4 linked regions of the Coturnix japonica genome follow. The main gene of each other region encodes a partner of the protein of the gene in region 4 in a complex. Links are inferred from orthologs where the notes say so. Each region holds a gene or a part of one and is shown on either strand. Other genes may lie near its edges. The genes, in order: RAB3IL1, RAB3IP, RILPL2 and RAB8A.

Evidence for each region.
Region 1: the proteins of RAB8A (region 4) and RAB3IL1 are in contact, whole or in part, in a crystal structure (PDB 4LI0), measured with the Homo sapiens proteins. The link is inferred for Coturnix japonica from reciprocal best matches to the Homo sapiens genes RAB8A and RAB3IL1. Residues at the interface, in NP_005361.2 of Homo sapiens: Lys10, Phe33, Ser35, Phe37, Ile43, Asp44, Phe45, Lys46, Ile47, Gln60, Trp62, Thr72, Ile73, Thr75, Ala76, Tyr77, Arg79; in NP_037533.2 of Homo sapiens: Arg104, Glu108, Leu111, Glu112, Thr115, Ala116, Phe119, Glu120, Ala122, His123, Arg127.
Region 2: the proteins of RAB8A (region 4) and RAB3IP are in contact, whole or in part, in a crystal structure (PDB 4LHX), measured with the Homo sapiens proteins. The link is inferred for Coturnix japonica from reciprocal best matches to the Homo sapiens genes RAB8A and RAB3IP. Residues at the interface, in NP_005361.2 of Homo sapiens: Lys10, Phe33, Ser35, Thr36, Phe37, Ile43, Asp44, Phe45, Lys46, Ile47, Trp62, Ile73, Ala76, Tyr77, Arg79, Gly80; in NP_783322.1 of Homo sapiens: Ser199, Arg202, Asp203, Gly206, Leu209, Glu210, Thr213, Ala214, Phe217, Glu218, Ala220, His221, Val224, Asn228.
Region 3: the proteins of RAB8A (region 4) and RILPL2 are in contact, whole or in part, in a crystal structure (PDB 6SQ2), measured with the Homo sapiens proteins. The link is inferred for Coturnix japonica from reciprocal best matches to the Homo sapiens genes RAB8A and RILPL2. Residues at the interface, in NP_005361.2 of Homo sapiens: Ile41, Gly42, Ile43, Asp44, Phe45, Lys46, Ile47, Lys58, Trp62, Phe70, Ile73, Tyr77; in NP_659495.1 of Homo sapiens: Leu135, Leu138, Arg139, Leu142, Gln143, Arg145, Asn146, Lys149, Ser150, Leu153, Glu157.

The regions. Positions count from the first base shown.
Region 1 is NC_029520.1:7,928,158-7,933,826, forward strand, and holds the start of RAB3IL1 (guanine nucleotide exchange factor for Rab-3A), read left to right. Parts: upstream 1-2,298; 5' UTR 2,299-2,442; intron 2,443-3,210; exon of another isoform or gene 3,211-3,296; 5' UTR 3,297-3,462; coding exon 3,463-3,476; intron 3,477-5,473; coding exon 5,474-5,669. UniProt on the Homo sapiens protein: Guanine nucleotide exchange factor (GEF) which may activate RAB3A, a GTPase that regulates synaptic vesicle exocytosis. Promotes the exchange of GDP to GTP, converting inactive GDP-bound Rab proteins into their active GTP-bound form.
Region 2 is NC_029516.1:32,253,747-32,259,398, forward strand, and holds the start of RAB3IP (rab-3A-interacting protein), read left to right. Parts: upstream 1-1,768; 5' UTR 1,769-1,881; intron 1,882-5,652. UniProt on the Homo sapiens protein: Guanine nucleotide exchange factor (GEF) which may activate RAB8A and RAB8B. Promotes the exchange of GDP to GTP, converting inactive GDP-bound Rab proteins into their active GTP-bound form.
Region 3 is NC_029530.1:4,242,558-4,248,206, reverse strand, and holds RILPL2 (RILP-like protein 2), read right to left. Parts: upstream 3,412-5,649; 5' UTR 3,301-3,411; coding exon 2,968-3,300; intron 2,505-2,967; coding exon 2,353-2,504; intron 1,016-2,352; coding exon 905-1,015; intron 463-904; coding exon 438-462; 3' UTR 179-437; downstream 1-178. Other genes in the region: SNRNP35 (U11/U12 small nuclear ribonucleoprotein 35 kDa protein), read left to right, coding at 3,841-4,632. UniProt on the Homo sapiens protein: Involved in cell shape and neuronal morphogenesis, positively regulating the establishment and maintenance of dendritic spines. Plays a role in cellular protein transport, including protein transport away from primary cilia.
Region 4 is NC_029543.1:3,482,832-3,488,506, reverse strand, and holds the start of RAB8A (ras-related protein Rab-8A), read left to right. Parts: upstream 1-2,243; 5' UTR 2,244-2,473; coding exon 2,474-2,597; intron 2,598-2,980; coding exon 2,981-3,041; intron 3,042-3,221; coding exon 3,222-3,282; intron 3,283-3,598; coding exon 3,599-3,676; intron 3,677-4,060; coding exon 4,061-4,150; intron 4,151-4,829; coding exon 4,830-4,895; intron 4,896-5,091; coding exon 5,092-5,142; intron 5,143-5,675. Other genes in the region: TPM4 (tropomyosin alpha-4 chain), read left to right, coding at 38-108, 336-411, 810-872, 950-1,019, 1,476-1,558. UniProt on the Homo sapiens protein: The small GTPases Rab are key regulators of intracellular membrane trafficking, from the formation of transport vesicles to their fusion with membranes.

The sequences.
Region 1 (5,669 bases), on a different chromosome or scaffold from region 4:
CTCCCAAAGGATTTTTATAGCAAGAATCATAGTGCTGTCATCCCAGCAGGGTCCCTGAATGACTCAGGATGATGAAAATGTCTCTAAACACCCAAAGAGTTCCATGTATGGGGGAAGACATGAGAGAGCACAGGATTGGGCTCTCTCTGGAGGCAGGGTTGTCCACATGAAGGGTCAGGGTCTGGGGAGGACACATGTCTTTGAGATACCACTTTGCATACACATCTAGAGAGAAGGGATTACTAGGCAGGCAGACAGAGATAGTTCTAGAGGGCCCCAGTGCCTGAGTCCATGTCCTTTTACATGGCAAGAACAAAAATGGTTCTCTTGATAGATTTTCTGGAACTGTGGGGATTTTCTGTGATCGTGGGGACTCTAAGGAGGAACAGCAAAATCTTGAGCATCCAGCTCTTGATGGAGGGATATGTCCCTATCTGGGGGACTCTGCTGCCCTCCTCTGAAAGCAGCTCATCCAGCAGTTCATATGGCTCAGAGTTACTGTTAGGACAGCACCAAACATCCGTGGCATCTAATAGGAAAGTAAATAACTGAGGGACTACCAGTGTGGCAGCAATACTTGGATCACTTTCTGCATTCCCCGAGGCCTCAGTTCTTCCAGGCCTGAAGCAAACTGCCAGTCTGAAAGCAGCAGAGGAGGAGCAAGGATGCACTGACGTCCATCCTCAGTCTCGCTGCCTTCCCACTGTCCTTGCAGGCCCTGGAATCCTTCCCATTTTCTCCATTTTGCAGATGTGCAGATTGGGTTACTGTGACGGGAAATGAATCCCTCCCCCTGTGCTGACTGAAATTCATTTGCTGCAGCTGCCTCCGGGAAGGGGACAGAGCCCTCCCTGCAGTCTGACAGAGAACAAGTGCTTTTCTCAGGACACCACGGGTGTCAAAGCCCAGTGAAACCCCTCTCCCATCTCTGCTTTCAGTGCCAAGATAGATGCTGATGGGTTTTATTTTTTCAAACTAACACTCTTCCTCGGAGTGTGATGTAGAAAAAAAACACCAAAATATGAGAGTATCTGAGGAATTGCTGTTTTTATAGACAAGACTGACTCTGATGTTTGAGCTTGCCGTGAGCCTTTGGAGAGGATGCAGTGACCATCAGTGCTTTTGTGAAGAACCTCAGGCCTCTCACCTTTACAATGCAGGATTTGTGGCAAAAATCCATCTCATTCGGGACCCATGGAACTCAGGACAGGCTGAGGGTGCTCAGTGTGTGCTAATTGCTGTCTTTGAGGACCATGTACTGTTTGGACAGTCCTTTCTTTCCAGGTTTCCCAGCTGCTCTTCTTTTTCCTGTCTCAATGTCTCTTCCTCTGGGCTCAGGCTGAGCTCTTCCAAAAAACACTGCTGTCAGCAGGGAGCAGCAGCCGAGATCTGGCAGGGGTCAGCAGTGCTTCCAGTGCCACAGCAGGACTGTGCCAGGCTGCATCTGCCTGAGCAACACAGCTCTGCTACCCCCAGACACAAGCCTTGTTGCTCTTCTTTCTCTGCTTTTTCATTCTCCTTTTCCTCCCTGTTGCCCTGGGAAATGGGCAGCAGTTTGTTTGGTGCTTAAGGCAGATCTCGTCTGTGAAACTGGAGATCTTAGCCCCAGAGATCCCAGAGGAGCCTTGCTGGAGCCCTCCTCACCAGTTGAGCAAACATGCTGCATGGCTGGAGGGAGGGGAGCGAGTGGGCGGATGGATCCTGGAGTGTTACACTCTTGCAATAACATCCGCTCTGAGTTTGCTGGGTCAGGGCCCTACTCCTGCTTTTCAGCATCTACAGCCTTCCAGCCCTCCATCAGACAACCCGGCTGGAAACATTCTCTTGCTGCCTTTTGGACTCTGGAAGCAATTCTGCCTTTCTAACCCGAGGACCCTCCATGCTGGGAGTTAATCATTACAACTGATTAGTTCTGGTGCTGCCTGCAGAGCTGCGGATCTCCCCTTCCTCACAAAAGCTCCCAGCAGGTAACAAAGGTTACAGCCACGGATGTGGCCACCTCAGACACTTTGCTCTGGCACCTCAGATGATTACGGACCAGATGGGACTGGGCTGTAATATAAGGGAATGGCCTCCAGCTGTGCCAGGGGAGGTCCAGGTTGGATATTAGGAAGCATTGATTGACGGGAAGAGCGGCGATGCGGTGGCACGGGCTGCGCAGGGAGTGGTGCGGTCACGGTCCCTGGGGGTATTAAAGGACAGGGCAGCATCAGATACTCATCCCACAGCCCCCCTATGGGGCGGTACCCCCCCCAAATCACGGCGTGCTGACGGCAGCGCGCACGCGCATCCGCGGGGCCGCGCTTTAATCACGTGGCGCCTCGCTCTGCCCCCTCCCGTCGGGGCGGCCCCGCGGAGCCGGGCGTGCTGCGGGAATGGCGGTGGCGGGCGCTGCTTCTCCGTCCCCTCCGCCGCCGTGATGCGCCGGGGGCACGAAGCGGGGTAGGTGTGCGGGCGGCGGCTCCGGCCGTGGGTCGCTGCGGGGCCGCCCGGGTAGAGACGCGCCGCGTCCGTGCGTGCTGCGGGGCGCCACGCAGCGCTGTCAGCCGCCGCTCCCGGTGCGGGACGGGCAGCAGCCCGCAGGGAACGGCCGTGCACGGAGCCGCAGGAAACTGCGGGGTCGGAGCGGCAGGAAGCTGCAAAACTGCCGAGCCTGCACTTTTTTTGTTTGGCTTTTTCTGCGGAATCCAACTTGGGCAGTTTGTGCTGTGCTCGGCTTTTTTTGCTTGCCTTCCTTTTTAATTGCTTTTTTTTTTCGGTTCTCCTTTGCCCTTTTCTCGCGCCTGGAGGACGGGTAGGACCCGGCCCGGTTCCCGAGCAGCGCAGCCCATCGGGGCAGAGCGCAGGTGCACCGCTCCGTCGGGTGCCGTCGGCTCGCTCCGTGCCTTCCTGCCGTCCCTCCCGATGCAGCAGCGCAGCGCTCTCCTGTACTGATAACTTTCCTCCGAGAGCTCGAGTCACGAGGAAACGGCTCTTATCTCTTTTTTCCCTTCCTATTCCATGCGAATAGCTGGACTCTTAGTAGCTAAGCGGGCTGTTGTGGTGTCCCTTTCTCTCGTCTCTTTCTTTCGCATCTGTTTGGTCCTGATTTCGGTTTTCCCTTTCTGCTCTGTTTCTTGTCCCCTTCTGGCCGTCCTAGGGAGCTTCCTGGCTAATGCGGGAGTCCCCGAGCCGTGCGCTCGCTGCAGTTTGCCTGTCTGATCTCTGCAGGGAGGGATTCCGCGGGGCCATCCGAGATTTGGTTTAACTATTGAACGAACGCCTCTGTTTGGAACGCTCTCCCTGCTTCGTGGCAGATCCATCGCAGAGAACCTCCCCTGGCTTCGTGCGGCGAGGATGAATTGGTTTCATCGAGTCTCCACCTTCCCGTGATGGGCTTCGTTCCTTTCCATTGGGTCGTTCCTTTGCTCGATACCTCCCCTTCCTGAGTGGGGCCCTTGGAGACCTCCTCGTTCCATAGCAATGGCCCTCGTTAGGTAAGTGCTGCCTTAGCTCATCTTGACCTTTCACTGATTCCCTGAATGTGTCCAGAGAACAGCTTGACTACAGCCAGTGCTGTGCTGTCTGAACACCATGCAGTGTGCACCATAAGTGCTCTCTCTTGCACTTACAAGAGTAAGTGCTGGCGTGGTCTGGGAGTTTCCACTGGTTACAAGTTGCTCACTCAGATCTATGCATCCGTGTGTGTATATGGCATTTTTATCGGCAGCTCCAGCGTGCTGAGTAGCTTCAGATTAATTATCTTTGCATGGCAGTGCTGTCTGTCGTTTTCCCTCCCCAGCGTGCTCCTTTATGTTATTTATTATACTTCCTAATAGCATTTATCACCAGAACAAGCTCCTTCTAGACCTAGTAAGACCAGGTCAAGTCAACCGTTCCTTCTGAATCCTTTCCTCCCTTCCAGCACTGCTTAAGCTCTCTTACTTATTCTATAAAGAGACTGGCAAAATCTATGACACTGACTGCATGCTGCCCCTTCCCAGTTCTGTCCAGTTTGCATGGCATGGCATCGTGGATGGTCCTGTACCCTTTCTCATCCCATGGCTCAAAGAGGTTTCTCTTAGTGCGCATTCACACCACTCCCTGTGGTACCTGAACTTCTTTGCAGGAGAAGACAGCTGGCAGACCACACTTTCTGCCACGTGGACAGGCATTCAGGCATGTGTTTTCCTCTTGTAACACACCAGCAGCTGCAAAACCTACCCAGCCTCTTCCTGCCCTGTGGGGTTGAAGTCTGGATCTGAAGTGAAGGGGGTCACGGTCTTTGTATTGCTATGGAATGTCAAAGCTGTACTGTTTTTTTTCTTTGCTCCTCCTGTGGTTTGGGGAGCAGCGTCCCTGAACTTAGGCCGATGGAGTGTTTGCTGGAATACTAAATAAGCCAGCTGTGGTCTGTTTTTCTCTGAAAATGCTCAAGAACGGCACTCCTGGAATAGCTGTGTTTAGTCTTGCTTTGTCCTGAGTTAAATGTCTGAGATGTTCTGTTTGGGAAGGGTAAAACGAGGTGTTATAACTTTGCCTACTTATGTTTTGTGTGTAGAGAGTTGTCTGTGAGGCAGTACTTTGCTGTTGAGAAACAAGCCCTTCTTGCCAGGAGTGCAGGCATCTCACACTGTACTTGGTGCGATTATTGAAGATCCCAGGATAGCAGAGATTTCCTCCCAACTCATTGCTTTGGGTCACTGTCTCCTCTCTGTTGCTGTTCTGAAAGGAATTCATGTCAAAAGCGCGAAGTAATCCAGTAGGGAAGCAATATCTGTGTGTATATCTGGGATCTTTTAAGAAGGAAGAGAAGAGAAATGGCCAGGCTGTGAATTTTGTATGTCTGTTCTGCCTTCAGTGTTTGCTTAGGGTCTGTCTGAGCTATGAGGGACTTCAGGGCTGAAACTCACAGATGAGTGTTCCCCATCTTCATTTGTTCTGATTTGTTTGATGCTCACGCCTGCAGCAAATGAATCTGACAAATATTTTTCCTGGCCTTGGCTTGTATTTAAGAGAGGGCAGTACGAGGAATCTGGTGAGCGGCTTGTTTAACCATGCTTGTAACAGTATTTGTGCATGAGCAGCTTATTCCAGTTACATTTCTCAGCTCTCTCAATCTCTGTTTGAAGAACTGGCTGCAAGAAGATGGTTTGTTTGACAAGGATTTATCCTTAGAAATTCTGCTGAGGGCAGGCAAGCCCAGCCAGCAGGCAAAGGAGCTGGTGCAGCTCTGGGACACAAAAGAGGTCCTCTAAGCCAGTTTCTTTGTATGCCTTCAACCTGCCTGCTTCACTCCTGTGCTCTTGGGAGCCTGAAGGTGCAGCACAGCTCACTACTGAATGTCCTGTTCAGTACGGTACCCCTCAGCCTCCCTGAAATGTTGGGTGAACCCAGGCTGGTTTGTCTTGCTGTTGCCTCTGAGGCTGTTTCTGAGCCTGGCAGGTTTGCTGATCACCCCCACACACAGTTTCACTGTGCCGGTTCCCTACAGCCAGACCCATTTTGAGGAAGACAGCCAGGAGCAACCAGCTGTGGGATACTGGAAACCACTAAAGCCATCCAAAGGCAGCAAGGAGGAGCCAGAGACTGGATGCCAGGATGCAGGCTGTGGGGATGACAGCCAGTCCACTGAGCAGCGCAACGTCTCGCGTCTCCGCAGCTCTTCGGTGGAGATCCGGGAAAAGGGC
Region 2 (5,652 bases), on a different chromosome or scaffold from region 4:
AAATAAATCTGTTGGTGATTAATTTTAGTGCAGTCAAATGTCTTTGGAAGAGTATTGCTTTTATTTCTTGAAATGCAAGATGTCTAATCTGGTTAAGACAGCAGATCGTCATGCCAAGTACAGTCATGTACAGGATTAAGAACTATAGGATTACAGACCCTAATTATAGACTCTTGTCCATTTACTATGTCTTAATACATTGTTTTCAACTTCTGATTACACTTGTCACGGTCTCCTTTGCAATCCTGTTTTAATGAACTTCCTGCTACATCTTCTAATTAGGCAGACCTGTGTTCTGATAGCACCGCGTGGGTTCTATTGCATGGCAATATTAGAAAATTAAATCATTTTAAAGGTTGGAGCTCTTCAAGCTGAAAATCCCCATTCTATGAGGTTTTTTGCAACAACCTTCAGGTTATACTGCTATTCGAGTACTCTGCTCTTTGCACTGCTGTTTTCCAGTTACATCCAGATAAGCTGTGGGTGATGATTCTCTGAAGACCATTTTTGCTGTCTGAGCCCCTTGTGTAGATTTACACACTGAAAAGTGGTTTGGAATATATTACCGTTTATGGTTAATAAATCTACTTTGTGATGAATGTCATCAGTGTTCCTCTTTTGACGCTGTCTTTCTCATCTCGTCATCTCATTTTGCCCTAAGTGAAGATTTTACTTGTTGGATACAGTAGTTAATGCATCGCAGAGAATATGATTTGTCTGAGGCTGTGTCCTGCAGGACTGGTCAAACAGGATTCTTTCACATTCAGTAGAAGGCTGTCAAGCCAATTAACATTTCAATTATTGAAAAGAACGCGGCCTGGATTCTTGACTGATGATTGGGACAAGACCTTGTTTACATGCATTTTTTGCTTGAGTTTCTCATCACTGAGACACATGTTTCAGTTCAGCTGTACTAACTACGATCAAAGCACAGAGTGAAACAGATACTGCTGTTACATGAAACACTTATGGGTGAACTACATGGGGTGTTCTGAAAGTAATGCCTCCTATTTTATTATGTTGGCTCATGATGCCACAGGTGGATGTTGGTGGTACAGCAGTAGAGGTCAAACCTTCTCACTAATATCCCATTTCATGTTGTTGCCGTGTGACAGATGGCAGCAGAAGGGCAATCTGACAGAATGGCATCTGGCATGGAAGTGCAGATTGATCAAAGGTGTGTCATTATATTCCTCCGTGTGAGGAAAATGGCGCCCACTGACATTCATCGATGCTTGCTGAATGCTTATGGAGACCAAAGAGTTGATGTGAGGATGGTGAGGCAGTGGATGGCACGCAGGCTCTTGTTACTCAATGAACAGCTAATGGTGGTGACTGCTCAAAAATAGTGTGTTGTCGCTGAGAAACTGCTTTACCAAACAGTGTTATCGTACTCTTTGCACTGGTGGTACTATGTATGGAAATAAATAGGAGGCATTGCTTTTGGAGCAAAATGGTGTCTTATTTATACCAGCTTTCCAACACTTTGCCTACTGCTTTTAAATGTATAGAAAGCATCATCTGGAGGGTGCCTGGCTGAGGAGCACAGAGACGCCGATGGCTCCTTCCTCAAGTTGTGGGGCCGTCTCCTCACGAAGCGCCCCTCACTATTCGCACCAATCCCCTCAGCGCGGCACTAAACCGCGCTCAAGGCGCTCGGCCATGGCGGTGTGAGGGCGCTGCCTCTCATTTGACGCCATCTCCCCCCTTGGAGGCCGCCTCCACCATCACGAATCCAGCCCGGCGGAGGGCGAGCACCTACTCCCCTCCCAGCGGGCGGGGCGGCGGCGGGGAGCATGCGTGAGGGCGGCCCAGCGCCCGCCCCCCATGTTGGCCGAGGGACGCGGTGCGGCGGCGGCCGTTGGGGCTGGCGGGGCGCAGGTACCGGGAGTGGGGGGACGGAGGGTGTGTGGTGGGGGCTGAGGGCTGAGTTTGTTGCGCCGTGTGGGGGGAAGCTGAGCTTGCGGCGTTCAGACCGGCCGTGCCATCGCCGGCTCTTTTAGCAGGCAGATGTGGGCTCGTTCCGTGTAGGAGCCCGCACTGGCGGCTGCCATCTGTTCGGTGTTTGCGTTCCTCGGTGACACGCAAAGCCCGCTGCTGTAGTAATGTTATTATTGTTGTCAGAGCAGCTCAGCGAGGGGGCTCGGGCCAGGCCTGCCGTGCCTCTGCCTTGCAGCCGATCCGCTGCCCTTGGTTCGTGTTACCGAGCGAGCCCGGCCAGCGAAGAGCCATCAATAATTCACCGCTCTCGTTATGCTTTTAATAAATAACAAAGGCGTGCGCACCCCCAGCTGCGGCGGAGGCACCGGAGCCTGTGCAGGACGGGGTCACGGCTGGAGAAATGCGTGGAAAATACCACGGGAGCCGATCTTCCTTCTGCTTGATGGGTTTTCCCAGGGAATAAACGTGTGCTTGAGGTGTTTGTTTTATTTTTAATACTGTTCTCAGAGCGTTGTCTGCGGTAAATGGACTTGAAGTTGTGTTAGACTCCGTAGTTATGGTTGGTAATGTGAAATGATAGATTAGCTCGGGTTGGAAGGGCTCATATCGCTCACCTGGTTCAGGCTAGATGCACACACATCTAGAAAGCTTTAACGTACTTCAACGTGTGGTCGCTTTTATTGATTAAATATTTTCAGCGCTAACTGGAGATGAGTTTGTCTTTAGCCAAAGTCTTAGCACGAGTTACGTTGCTGTGGCGGTGTGACCCAGAGCCAAGCTGAGCTGTGCTATGAGACTCCTCCCCAGGTAAGGCAGAACCGTGCTGTGCCTTCAGAGCAACGTCTGGGAAGGGAATACTATATCACTGCGTTTAGAGAGGCTTTGTCAGCGGAACGCTGTACTTTGAATGTCTACAGTAAGTTCTGAGGGATTCTACTTCACAGAGTGCTGATCTTTCTCTGGAGTAAGACCTATACTGTGTAGCAGACTCTAAGCCTTATTTATTTGTAAGTTTCACAAGGGCTTTATAAATGCGTCTCTGAATCTTGTGTGCTACTTCTACCCTCCCGTAAGAGGGGCAGTGGTGGTTGGTTGGCAATAGACTAAAGACTGGAAGAAGACTGCGTTGTAGTGTGATATCACCAAACATGGGGGGGATAAGATAGAAAAGCATCATATCCAAGCAGTTTTTCCTCTTCTTTTTCCTTTTTTATAGGTCTTGAATTCTGCAGACTTGCCTGTTTCTTTATTGTCTGCTGGTAAATATATCATCTAGTGTCACTCACAAATGAAAGCTGTTTGATGGCAGTTTACGAGGGTGGATAGTGATAGGACAAGGGGGAATAGTTTTAAACTGAGTCAGGGGAGGTTTAGGTTGGATATTAGGAGGAAGTTTTTCCACACGGAGGTGAAGAAAAACTAGAGGTGATGCACTGGCACAGGTTGCCCAAGGAGGTTGTGGATGCCCCATCCCTGCAGGCATTCAAGGCCAGGCTGGATGTGGCTCTGGGCAGCCTGGTCTGCTGGTTGGCGACCCTGCACATAGCAGGGGGTTGAAACGGGATGATCATTGTGGTCCTTTTCAACCCAGGCCATTCTGTGATTCTATGAAAAGCAGTAACAACACTGGAAGAGTCAGTAGTTTCTCTTGTATCTTCCTGCCCTCCAAGTGACTTGTTGCAAATTGTTTCCCTGAGTGAAAAGTTCTGCAAAACATTCTCATTTTTATGATTATGGCAAACTTGAAGGGAATTCCTGAGTCAAATCTGGAGCTGTCAGTGCAGTGGGCTGCATTGGTAACCATGTTTAAATTTGCTTCTTGTGGCTGGGCAGAAATAGAAAACACTTTAGCCCTGGGGGGAAAAAAAAATCACCAAACCTCTTTATTGAGTATCTGCATCTGATGAACATCTCATATACTGTGTTGATTTGCTTATCTGAGCCTTGAATTCATGTGAGCCTTACAAACAGTGCTGGGTATGGAGTTGCAGTAATCGGACTGCTTCTTTAACAGCTATGTGTTTGTCAGTCCACTACTGTATTTCCCCGTTGAGTTCTTTAGGGCTTAAAGCATCTCACATTCCAGGCTGTATAAATGCCAAACATTTCAAAACCCACTGAGAAGAATGCAGGCCTTATGGTGGGCAAATGCCAGTCCTGAGGAACCGGTACAAAAAATCAACTTGTCTGTCCTGCTCCCCCTCCAAATGGAAGCAGGCTCCAGAGTCTAATAAATGAAGCCTTTGAGATTTCATTATCCCCACACAGAAGGCCTTTCTAAATATTAAAACCCTACAGGTAATATGCACATATTTCGCTAAATGCCAACTAGAATTTTCTTGTCATCAGTGACTCCTTAAGCTTGTTTTTTTCCCCTCCTGTTTCCTTGAGCAGGTAACAGTTCTGTTGTGCTCTTGACTATTAAAGCTCAAAAATGAGCTGTTTGAGGTATAAAATGTTGGAAAGCAATGCGACCAGCAAATGGCTTTTCCAGCAATTAGGAGTTTGCTTTCAAATACCAACAGACTGAAATGACAGCTTTGAGCAGACCCTAAAAGAGAAACTCCAGAGCCTACAGCAGGCAGTCTTAAACAGAAGTACTGAAGAAGACTTTCCTCACAGAATCTCAGAATTGTAGGGGTTGGAAGGGACCTCTAGAGATCATCGAGTCCAACCCCCCTGCCAAAGCAGGCTCCCTACACCACGTCACACAGGTAGGTGTCCAGGCGGGTCTTGAATATCTCCAGAGAAGGAGACTCCACCACCTCCTTGGGCATACTCCTCTGTGATAAGTTACTGCTCTGTGGTGTTAACTGCTCTGACTTGGACCCCTTCTGAAAGCTTAATGAAGTGTTTTAACTTGGCTTTTCACAGCGTTCACAGCTCTTGGTTCCTGTTAGAAATGATAAGAACATGTTGAACTGTTGTTTAACTGGTTTCTTTGTAATCACTTTTAATAAATCTTAGATAAAGTAACAGATTAGTGCGTGGTTCCTTTGGGAAGTTATTTGGGTCAGCAGAGAGGTAGGAAGAAGGGGCAAAGTTCTGACAGCGTACCCCAAATTTGCATTATTTTCAGGTAACAATATAAGGAAATTAACATGCTGTAGTTTCATACTGGTTTGTGGCAATTACTTGATTTGTGTACGTCATCTGGATTACATACTGTCATCTAAAATGAAAATGGCCACATTGAGTAGACACAAATGCTATTCTAACCTTTCACTATATATTAATCTAACAAAAGTACAAAGGATATTCATGATTTTATTTATTTGATAAGTGTGCTGCCCTGAAATGTGTCGGGATATCGGCTGTTGTTCGCAGTAGCAGTGAGACACAGCACTGTGTCAACACTGGCTTTTACACGCTGTCGGCACAGCTCCTGGTGAACGCCCCTGCTTGCTGTGCACGTCATTGTGTGCCTTCACAGCAAGGCTGGGTGTTTGTCTGTAATGGAAAACCCACAAAGCTTGAACCAAATCCATACTTCTTAATAACGCTGATGTTTAGTAAGTGGTGGTGATGGTGCTTACTATTTCTTTGTAGAGCTCTTTGCCAAAAGCAAACTTGGTCAGTGGTGCTTGTAACCGGTGTATAGTATAATATAGTAGTATTGGGTATGGTGTATTTGGTAGTGGGAAAAGAGGCTGGTGGCAGCAGTGAAAGCAGATGTGTTCCTGTAGATGTGAGCCTGACTTTGAGACTAGG
Region 3 (5,649 bases), on a different chromosome or scaffold from region 4:
CAACTGGAATTCTTTCCCAGCACTTTGCTGTGAAGGCAATTGGATGTCATGTGTCCATTAAAAATAACATATCTCAGTCTTCTAAAACCACTTTGTGCTGATCACTACAATAGGTACACAAGGTCGATGTATATTAGTACACTTCCATTGTAGGCTCCCTAAATAAGAACAAGCAAAACTTTATATAAAACATTTATTTTTTTTTCACAAGTAATGTCTGAAAGGAATCCAACAATGCAAAACGTGTACGTATGTCAAACGGTTGCTAAAATAGCAAAGTAAAGCCTATTCTGAAAGAATATTGTACAACAATTCTGAGATTGCTTATTCTCTACAGTAAGAGTGACTCTTTGTTTTCCAGTTCTTGACTCCTCACTCCTTCAGCTGCTTTTGCTGTGGCCATTTCTGCCCAGAAGTGGCTAAGTTTTCAAGAATACTCATTTTCCATGTTTAAAAGAGAACCTGCAAAAGAAAAATACAAATGGAAAAGAAGGACCATGTGGTGTGAGTGCCATCTCAGTGTGTTCTGCTTTAAGGAACTTTAAGGACATGACCTGAGCTTGTGGTACTGCGCACAGCTGCCTGCATGCAGTGTAAACAAGCCTGTGGGAACAGCTATCGTGAGTGTTAACGTGCAGACGGGTCCCAAGTTGCAAAGTTTTGTTCTGATTCTGGCTCTTTGTAGGAAAAAAGTGTCACCCTGCTTCTCTAGGTGAAGCTTGCTTTCCTGTGGAGTGCTTGTTGAACAGAAAAGGACTTCTCTGTCATATTTGAATTTTATAGAGAGGAGAAAAAGATCCAGCCAAGTAGGCCAGAGTTCAGAATTCACCCCTGGGTTTGCACGCACAGTGTGTCCTTCTCTCATGCTCTGCTAAAACAACAACAACGAAGCAGACAGACTTACAGCCGTTTGATGATTGTCTTCTCATGGCTGTTCTTGCTGGTGCCTGAGCTGCTGCCACAGGGTTCCTGCTCCAGTTCTCTAGTTTGGTCCTTTCTCTGTGAGATGATCCCACTGGTAAGAGAAGTGGATTTTGTTTGTTTTTGCTCCTTATGTAACTAGCTTAGCACAGCATTGCTGTCCTGTTCAGCAGACAGTCTGGGATGTGAGATAAGGTGGCTATTGGCTTATCACGTAACTCTGTATAACAAACAAACTCCATAGAATTACCTGAACCCTAAAGCAGCATTTACATGTTGTCTTGGTACAAAGCTCTGGCTCATTAACAGCATATTTTCAGCTTTTCAATCAATTTTTAACTTGGCCTGTAGTAAGGGGTGTATCACAGATGAGAAATCAAAGACAAGAAGCCATTCCAATGGTTGCACAGCAAAGGTAGTGGGCCAGGATGGGGAAGCTGGTGCCTCACTGCTATGTGAGAACTGCAGCTGTGCAGACAGTCTGTAAGCTGACTGCTTGGATTTAACTTTAACTTCGCCTTAACCCATTACAAACAAGGCAAAGGGCAGCATTAGTGAGTCTAAGAGTTTGTTACTCTGTTACCTCAGATGAAATGTTTAGTTTTTAAACCTTGTGAGTCTAGATGAAAAAATAATATATTGCTCCAAGGACCTTATAATACAGCCAGAATGATGAGGGGCAGAGGTGGGTGAGGAAAACAGCCTTGGAGGTGAAGCAGTTTGTAGCACAAAAGGAAGACCCTGAATCTCATCTTCTCCCAACCTGCTCCTTTCTAGAAAGACTGAGGTTCTGCTCTGAAGAAACCAACTCAGCACAGAGCTGTGCAGGGTGTTCTACCTGCTGCCATTCTTAAAAGAAAACAACACAGAAATGAATAAAACCCCCCAGCTTCTCTTCAGTGATAGCAAAAGAGCTTAACAATCTGCTTTCTACAGTAATGCCATACACGTGCTGGGGGACAAGGAACAGTGGATGTGCTTGCAGACCCCCATTTGCACTCAAAGGAAATTTACTTCCTCTGACTTGCTACTAAAACAGAATGGAAACCCCCACGATCTTCCGGTAAGTGGCGTGGTTTGAGGCAGGAGCAGTGTGTGCAACTGCTCTAACTGTGCAGGTTAATGTCTGTGCATGAGAACTCAGCTTGTATATATGGAGTTTCGGAAACCATGTGTAGGATTTCAGGAGGGCAGTTACCACAACTGCACTGAGTAAGGGGGAGTTCAGTTTTAACACTGTTGCACAGAAGCTTTGCTGTTCCCACATCTTTCTTTGCTCACTTGTAGGCTCTCATGAGCAGAGATGTCTTTTCCTCTAGGGATGAACAGCACCCAGCCCAATTTAGGTGCTCACACCTGCAATACCATCATCTGATAAGCTCCCCAGGAAGAAGTAAATGCTGCTTGTTCTTTGCTGACTATGCTATATACCTTTTGTAGCACTGCAGCTCCTCTTGCACCACGAGGAGCTGAGCTTTCAGCTGGTTACGTTCCTGCAGCACATCTCGCAGCTCCTGTAATGTGAACCGAGGGCGATTTGGATCCGTGAGGTCTATCACCATTTTATCTGGTCCCAAGTTGGGCTGTAAGAGAAATAGTAGGAGATGTGATCTTGTAACCCATCAAAACAGGACGAGAGGTAATGGCTTCAAGTTGCACGAGGGGAGATTTGGGTCGGGTATTAGGAGAAATTTCTTGTCCCAGAGGGCGGTCAGTGCAGGCACAGCTGCATGGGGAGGTGCTGGGGTCACCAACCCTGTGGGGATGTGGTTGGTGGGCACGGTGTGATGTGCTGGAGTTGGTGATCTCTGTGGTTTTTACCAACCTTAATGATCCTGTGTAAACCAGGCCGCTCCATAAGTTAGGAACTCGGAATGTTATAAACCCACAGCTACCGTTATAACGAGCATCTCTCCCTCGTCATCCCGCTTTGTTTCCCGAGCAGTTCGTTGTTATTTCACGCTGTTTGTTCCCCTATCTCAGCAGGGTGCCCTCCTACCGGCCAAGTCCCGTTCCCAAGAGCCGTATCCCCATCTCCGCACCCACCTGCTGGCCGCTCCCCGCCGCTCCGCTGCCCCTCACCGCCTCCAGCTCTGCCCGCAGGTTGTCCCGCTCCATCCGCAGCTGCTCCTCGCTCAGGCTGCTCTCGCTCACCAGCGCCTCCAGCATCTCCAGCACCCTCACCATGCTGAACTGCAGCCGCGATACGGCGGCGGGCACCTCGGGGCCGGCGCTGAGCTGCAGCAGATCCCGGCCCACTACAGAGGAGATGTCGTACACATCCTCAGCCGTCAGCTGGAACGGGCTCTTCTGCAGCGCGCTCTCGGGGCCGCCATCGTCCTCTCCATCCTCCTCCTCGTCCTCCCCGCCGCGCTGCATGGCGACAGGCGGCCCGTTACCAACTTCCTTCCCCAGGGCCGGGCCCCGCGGGCGGAGCGAACCCCGCGGGTTCCCATGGAGGAGCCGCTCCGCCCTTCGGCTCCACACGGCGGTGCCGCCTTGGGCCCGCCCCGGAACCGCCTTCAGGCTCGGGCGGGACGCGAGTATGTCCGCCGGTCCTACGAGCTGCAGCAAAGCGGTGTGAGACCGGGGGGAGCGGCTGAAGGGAACGCGGCCTCCACCGGGTTAGTGTCGGCTGCCGGGACAGGGCCCCGCTGCGAGGAGAGGTGAGGGGGGAACGGGGCGGAACGGGGCCCTGCAGGCGGGGCGGCTCCGCTGTCTGTGAGGGCCCGGCCGGGCCCGAGATCCCGAGCGGCTGTGAGGCTGAGGCAGACCCGGCGCTCGTTCTGAAGGGCTTTTGTAAGGATCGCTGCGCTCTGGAAGCGCTTCAGCCCTGCCTGCTTTCCCTGCTTTCCCTGCTTTCCTTTCTAAGATGCCAGCCATGAGCTGTGTTTAATTCGATTTCTTTTCCCGCTAGCAATGACCGATTGGGCGCCCATAGCGAAGGAGTATGACCCCCTCAAAGCGGGGAGCATCGATGGCACGGATGAGGAGCCCCATGACCGTGCCATCTGGAGGGCCATGCTGGCGCGTTACGTCCCCAACAAGGGTGTGACGGGAGATCCACACCTCACCCTGTTCGTAGCGAGGCTCAATCTTCAGACAACAGAGGAGAAATTAAAGGAGGTCTTTTCCCGGTATGGAGACATCAGGAAGATCCGTCTGGTTCGAGACTTGGTCACAGGGTTTTCCAAGGGTTACGCGTTTATCGAGTACAAAGAGGAACGTGCTCTGCTGAAGGCCCACAGAGATGCCAACAGGCTGGTTATCGATCAGCACGAGGTCTTCGTAGATTTTGAACTGGAAAGGACTCTCAAAGGATGGATTCCTCGGAGGCTTGGAGGTGGTTTTGGAGGCAAAAAAGAATCTGGGCAGCTGCGGTTTGGAGGACGGGACAGACCTTTCCGGAAACCCATTAATTTACCAAATGTGAAAAATGATTTCTATGGAGAAGGCTCAGCAGAGAAAAGAAACTGGTCTCGAGAGGGAACGAGGGACTGGAGAACAAGAGACCGAGAGCATGAAAGGAGCAGAGAGAAGAGAGGGCCAGAAAGAGAGCGGTCGTGGGGTTGGGGTGACAGTGAAAGAGACTCAAAAGAGGAGAGGAGCAGAGGGAGAGAGAGAAAGGACAGAGACAGAAAGGACAGAGATAGAGACCGGAGCAGGGAAAGAGATGCCAGGAAGCAAAGAGATGATGATAAGTATCGATAGCTGGCAGCACCTTAAGGGAATGATGGGAAGTTTGGGTATGGTGACTACTCTTTTGTGTCTCTAGAGTAGCATGAGACACATAGAACTGCCTGTACTGCTGGCTGGGGGCACAACTCTGCTGTTATGGTGAATGAACTGCTATGGAGGAGGTGATGCAGCAGGTTCTGGCATCTGCAGTGTGGAAAAAGCTGTGTCTTCTGGAGGACGTGGACGTGACTCAGTTGTAGATGTCACCTTCAGCAGGGGGCTGTGAACTGCATTCCCCAGACAAGCAGCATTCGTGTTACTGTCTTGTGCCTTTGACTTTTATCTGCTAGAAGCTCTGTAGCGTGGGTCATAGCGCAGGTATCTTTTGTTGAATTGTTCTTAAGAGAAATTAAACTTTTCTGTTCATGTTTTAAAGTGGTGAAAAAGAAATGCACGTGTTACCATCCCCTCAAAATCAAGCACTCGCCTCATTTGCTGTTCATTTTGCTGCTGGGATCAGTGTTTGTGAGAGAGCTCCATATTTAATTCTTTGTGTGCCAGATGCCCACTCATTTTGTGAGACAGATGCCCTTTATGAAGTCACTTCATGAAGAAATAGGAATGAAATGACAGCGACAAACTAGACTTGAAGAAATACTCGTTTCTCAGAAATATTTATTAAACTGTTAAAATGATTTACTGCCCAAAACAAACAGAACACAAAAAAAACCCCATAACAACTTCAGTGATCCTGCACTCTGGACACAGGATTGTTTCTGCCTTTCATCCTGCCTTCCTTTTTAAAAGCAGATTTTAGCTAAATAGTGAGAAACTACATGATGGGTCTTCAACCCTTTCCATACTCATCCCTATGTGCCATCTTTTCTGATGGCACTTTGTATTAACTCGGTGTTTCTAACATGAGAACGAGGAGCGGAGTGGTTAATGCTAGCGGGAGGAACTAATTAGATTTCTGAGGTAATGGGCTACAGAGATAAATAGGGGAAGGTTGTACTGCTTAGTGCCATTGTTTGATGTTGGCTGCAGATT
Region 4 (5,675 bases):
AGGTCGGCGCCCGGTGACTGCTGTGCTCTTTTCTCAGGTTGCCCGCAAGTTGGTGATTCTGGAGGGAGAGCTGGAAAGAGCTGAAGAGCGAGCAGAGGTGTCCGAAGTGTAAGTAGCTTCACACAGCTGGGGGACTCGAGTGGGCATTAAAACATTGCATGGGGAAAATCCACTCATAGGGAAGCACGTGCTGTGCCTGGCAGTGGCATTGTGCCCCATGCGCCCAAATTCATGCCTTCAAACTTTTTACGGTATCTTTTTAGACTTCTTGAAAGTAAAATTAAGCCCCAGCAGTGGTGACTCCTACTATTTTATTTTATTTTTTTTCCCTATAGGAAATGTAGTGACCTCGAAGAGGAGTTGAAGAATGTCACCAACAATCTGAAGTCTCTGGAGGCTCAGGCTGAGAAGGTTGGTTCTTTCAGTAACTTTCAGATTTCACTATGGGATGGGCACAAAGTCAAAACCCGTAATTGAAGTGCACAGAAATACTGCAGAAATAAAAAGAAATTAAGAGGGGTGTCCTGCCTTCCTGTTCCAAGAGCCCATTGATAGTGCTGAGCAGTTTCTCTTTGCACATTCAGCTGTTTTGTGCTGCATGAGAAAATAAAGTCTAAGTTGATGCACAAAGTTATTTGGACATCACCATCGGAGTGATGGTACCCAAATCAGTCTGAGGTGTCTCAGGGAAGAGAGAACAAAGTGTGGGCAGCTGTTGTAGAAAGGAAAGCAGTTGTAAATAAATCCTGTTTCCATAAACATCCATTGCTGTCACAAGTGCCCTTCAGCAGTGTGTTTTGTTTCCACAGTACTCGGAAAAGGAAGATAAGTATGAAGAAGAAATCAAGATTCTTTCTGACAAGCTCAAAGAAGTGAGTCCGTCCCTCCCCACGCTGCTTTTTGGCGGTGTTTTTTAACAGCGCTCAGTTATTCTATTTAATATTCCTAGGCTGAAACTCGTGCTGAGTTTGCTGAGAGAACGGTTGCCAAACTGGAAAAGTCCATTGATGATCTGGAAGGTACGAAATTACACATTCCTTTTCAAATGGGTTTTGTATTCTGCTGGGGAAGGACAGCCAGGTGCCGGCTGTCCGGGCGGGCCGTGCAGGGCTGGTGCTGCCTCATGGCCAGGGAAGAATTGCTCTGGAAGGGGTTCTCTATCAAATCCTTGTGAACAATGAACTTTTGTTGGGCCAGCTCACAAGCTTAGAATCGTAAGACCCATTTCAATCAGTAACAAAGTCGTGATGCTCTTTAGCCCGATGGCTGAGAAATAACTGAGATCTGTAGATGAAGTGTCTGACGTGGCAGCTGCCCATATTTCTGTATTTCTGCTTCCGCACTGCTGCTCCATCATAGCTCTGTTTTCTTTTGTATCCCCCTCCAACTGCTCTGGTTGCTGCCTTCTGCCTGTCCTCGTGCCCTCTGCTGTCCGCCTCTCCCCCTGCGCTGTTCTCTGTGCCTCTGCCTGGTAGATGAGCTGTATGCTCAGAAACTGAAGTACAAAGCAATCAGCGAGGAGCTGGACCACGCGCTCAATGACATGACCTCCCTGTAGTCTGCACCTCTCGGTGCTCCGTTTGCTGTATCTCTTATGCTCTTCTTGCCTGTAATTCCTTCTGTGCTAAAAGCGATCCATCCTTCAGCCTGCTCTGTAAGAACTGCGCTCAATAAAGATCAGATGCCTTTACCTGTCCGCTTTGGGGCTTTGTTTCCTTATCAGTACTGACGCTGTAAGTACCGCTCGGTGCTCAGCGGGGGGCGCCGGGCAGCTCCGAAAAACCGGAGCAACCGCAAACCCGACAGCGCTGTTGTTTCCGGCGCATCGGGCGGTGTTTGTACGGCACAGCAGCGCAGCACTGTCCGCTTTACGCCTTTTTTTTGCTCCCTTCCTCCAGACAAACTCGCTCAAGCGAAGGAGGAGAACCTGGGGCTGCACCAGACGCTGGACCAGACACTAAACGAACTGAACTGTATATGACCCGGGGAACGCCGCGGCCGGAAGACGAAACCCGCCCTCATCGCGTCACCGCTGCGCTCTGCCGCCGCTCGTCCCGGTTCCGCTCATCCCGGACGTGGCGTCGCGCATTAAACGTGTTACACGTGTTCCGCCATTCCCGCCGCTCCGCTCCTTGCGCCGCGCCGCCTCTCGGTGACGTCACGAGCCGACAGGCCACGTGACGCTGCCCGCGCGCCCCGTCCCCTCCCTCCGGCTTCTACTCGCGCGGAGACGGGCGCCTTCCGCTCGCGGCCGGAAGTGACGTTGCGCCGGGAGCGCGCGGCCAATCGCGGTGCCGCTTACGTCGCGAGCGGAGTCCAATGGCGCGGCGGCTCGAGGTCCCGCCCACCGGGTCGGCGGTGACGTAACGCTCCGCTCGGCCAATCGCCGCGCTGCGGGCCGTGATGGGCGGCGGGCGCGGCCTGTGAGGCGGCGCGGGGGGCGGGCGGTGCCGCAGGGGCGGCGCCCGGGAACATGGCGAAGACGTACGACTACCTGTTCAAGCTGCTGCTCATCGGCGACTCGGGCGTGGGCAAGACCTGCGTGCTCTTCCGCTTCTCCGAGGATGCGTTCAACGCCACCTTCATCTCCACCATCGGTGCGCGGGGCGGCCGGGGCTGCACACAGCGCGGGGGGCGCTGCGGGCCGGGACGGGGCTGTGCCGTGCCGTGCCGTGCCGCGCCGCGGTGCCGTCGGGCCGTGCGGTGCCGTAGTGCAGTGCAGTGTGGTGCCGTCGGTCGGTGCGGTGCTGTCTGTGTGGCGGTGCTGTCTGTGTGGCGGTGCTGTCGGGCGGTGCGTTGCGGGCCTTGTCGCTGCGCTCGGTTCGGGTCCGATCCCGCGGGGCGCTGCGGGCGCTGAGCCGCGGTTCCGTCCCGGCCGTGGGGACGCTGTGCGGCACAGTCTGGTCGGGGGGAAGCGGAGGGAAAAGCGTTGGTTTGTCCTCTGTAGAAGTTAAATGTAATGAGTTGTTTGTCGTTGCAGGCATTGACTTTAAGATCAGGACTATAGAGCTCGATGGCAAGAGGATCAAGCTGCAGATATGGTGAGGCTCGTTGATGCAGTCGGTGCTGCAGTGCAGTGCTGTTACTTTGTGTGCAGTTGTGCTCTTCAGCGGTATCATTAAACTAAAGCAGTTTTAGTGCACGTGAAGACCAACGTGTGACATGAATGTCTGACAGCATTAAGGTGGGAGGTGTGTGACCCCTCGTTCCATCTGTTGCAGGGACACCGCCGGGCAGGAGCGATTCCGCACCATCACGACGGCGTACTACAGGGGAGCCATGGTAGGAGCGCGGCGCAGGGCGGTTCGGCTCCCAGCAGAGCAGTATCAGAGCAGCCTGCAGTGCTGCAGGCACAGCTGCCTGGACTTGGCTGAGCGCCGGCGCTGTGCTGGGTGCTGGGAGGGCCCGGGGCAGACGGCTGCAGTGACTCACTGAGCTCACACCCCATCATTGCATCTGGCAACACGCGCTGACGTTCCGGGTTGTGCTGAAACAGCTCTTCTTTATCAGTCCTTAAGGCACTCCTTTCTGTTACAGACAGGTTTAACTGTTGCATATATGATCATAGCCAAAACAAGTATCTCTCCTTCCTCCTCAGGGCATTATGTTGGTCTATGACATCACCAATGAAAAGTCTTTTGAAAATATTCGGAACTGGGTCAGGAACATTGAAGAGGTAACTTCTCTTTACTTGACATTCAAGGTGCTGTTTCTCCCTCCAAAAGCAGTTGGAAATTAAATGCTTCAGTAACACTTCTTTCAAATTTAGAGTGGGTAGAAAATAGATTAAATGAAAGTCAGGGAATGCTGTGGGTAACAAATTTGCAGTGTGTGCTTTTGATTTGATTTTCCTGGCACAGAGCTGATGGTTCACAGGGCGCTCACAGAGCAGTCGGTGCCTGCAGTGCAGTGCTGGGATCAGGTGCTGTGCAGGAGCTCAGAAACCTACAGAGTGCTCAGCACCCATGTATCCATTTGAAGTTCTTGATGGAAACCTCGTCATTTGGCAGTATTTGTAAGACATAAACACAGTCCTTTCTTTCCTCTGTTCCTATCTCAGCATGCCTCTCCGGACGTTGAAAAAATGATCCTTGGGAACAAATGTGATGCAAATGACAAAAGACAAGTTTCTAGAGAGCAAGGGGAGAAGGTAAGTGTCACGGGCTGCGCCCAGATGCTGAAGGTGAAGGCAGTACGTAGAAGTCAGTGCTCCCTGGGGTGATCAGTGTCTGCAGAGCCTGCTGAGCTCCTTCCTGCCAGCACTGATGCAAAGTGCAGTTGCTGCCTGAGCAGAAGCAGCCTGTGCTGCAGTGTAACAGCAGCGCTCATCGTTGTGTGTGCCTCCTCAGTGGAACTTCTGAGTGCAGCTACCGAACGCTTCCCAAGCTGTAGCTGCAGTCCAACAAAAAGATGAGTCTGTTCAGAATGCAGCTGGGTTACCTGGTTGAGATGTTAGATGCGGAGTAACTGAGTTCTCAGCCAAAGAAAGAAAATCATTTAGGAATGGCTGCTTTTGTCATACACAGGTAGGCAGGGTTGTTGTTTCTGGCATCGGATGTCAGTTAAAGTAGAGAATGTACTTTTATGTACCACAGACGTTACAGAACTGACAAGGTATCTGTTAGAAATAGATGTATGTATTTAAAGACAAAGGAGCAGACAAAAATGTGTGTTTTGTTCTATGAAAAAGAAGAACAAAGTCCAGTAAGAACAGATGCTGATAGCAATGCAGCTCAGTTCCTGGTTTGTGGAGGAGATCCCGCGCTGTCTGTTATGTTTATGGCTGTTCCTGCAGCCACCCGACTAACACAGAACCTGCTTTTGTTCAGCTTGCAGCGAGTTTTGGAATTAAATTCATGGAGACCAGTGCAAAAGCAAATATAAACATAGAGAATGTAAGTACTGCGACCTTTCTCTTGTATTTATTGTCTTATAACGCGTGAAGATAAGCTGTAAGAACAGTTGCCCATCCTGACTGAGTGCAGAACTCAACTGCTGATACTTCATATGGGCTGTTACAGTCAGAAGGGCAGATTATTGTTAAACAAAGCTGTTAAGATTGTGTTTTATTAACTGTATTTCTTATTACAGGCATTTTTCACTCTTGCCAGAGACATCAAAGCAAAAATGGACAAGAAGTTGGTAAGTGACTTCTACTTAGGCTAAGCTTTGTTTAAATGGAGGATTAACACCAAGAGCTGCATCGCAGTGAATGGTCTCCCGTGGTCTCCGCCTGGAATGCACTGAAGGTCACAGAGATTTGTTTTTAGGTTCAGAACTGTGTTCTGCTCACAGCATGGAAACCATTGGGTCTGTGTTTCAGGATTCAGCTGCAGTTGTTGATGTTCTCTGAACAGTTTTCCTGTGTGTTGTTTAGAAAGCCATGCGAGTGGTAGAGGGGAGCTGCTTTGCGATATTTCTTGCTCCTGCAGTCTGGAGAAGTGAACTGTATAAGTTTTGAGTGTCTGCTTCATACTCTATTGGCTTCATTTCATGAAGAAAATCAGATTGTTTCTACTTTACTGGTACCCTGAAGTATGCAGCACAAACCAAACATATCCTGCAGTTTTTCTGGCCTCTGCTGTCTTTGGTTTGATGGAAAGGAGAGCCGGCTCTGTACTTGTTGGTCAAAGGCAGAAGTAGGATGTGCAGCTCTCTGACTTTTCACAGAGGCT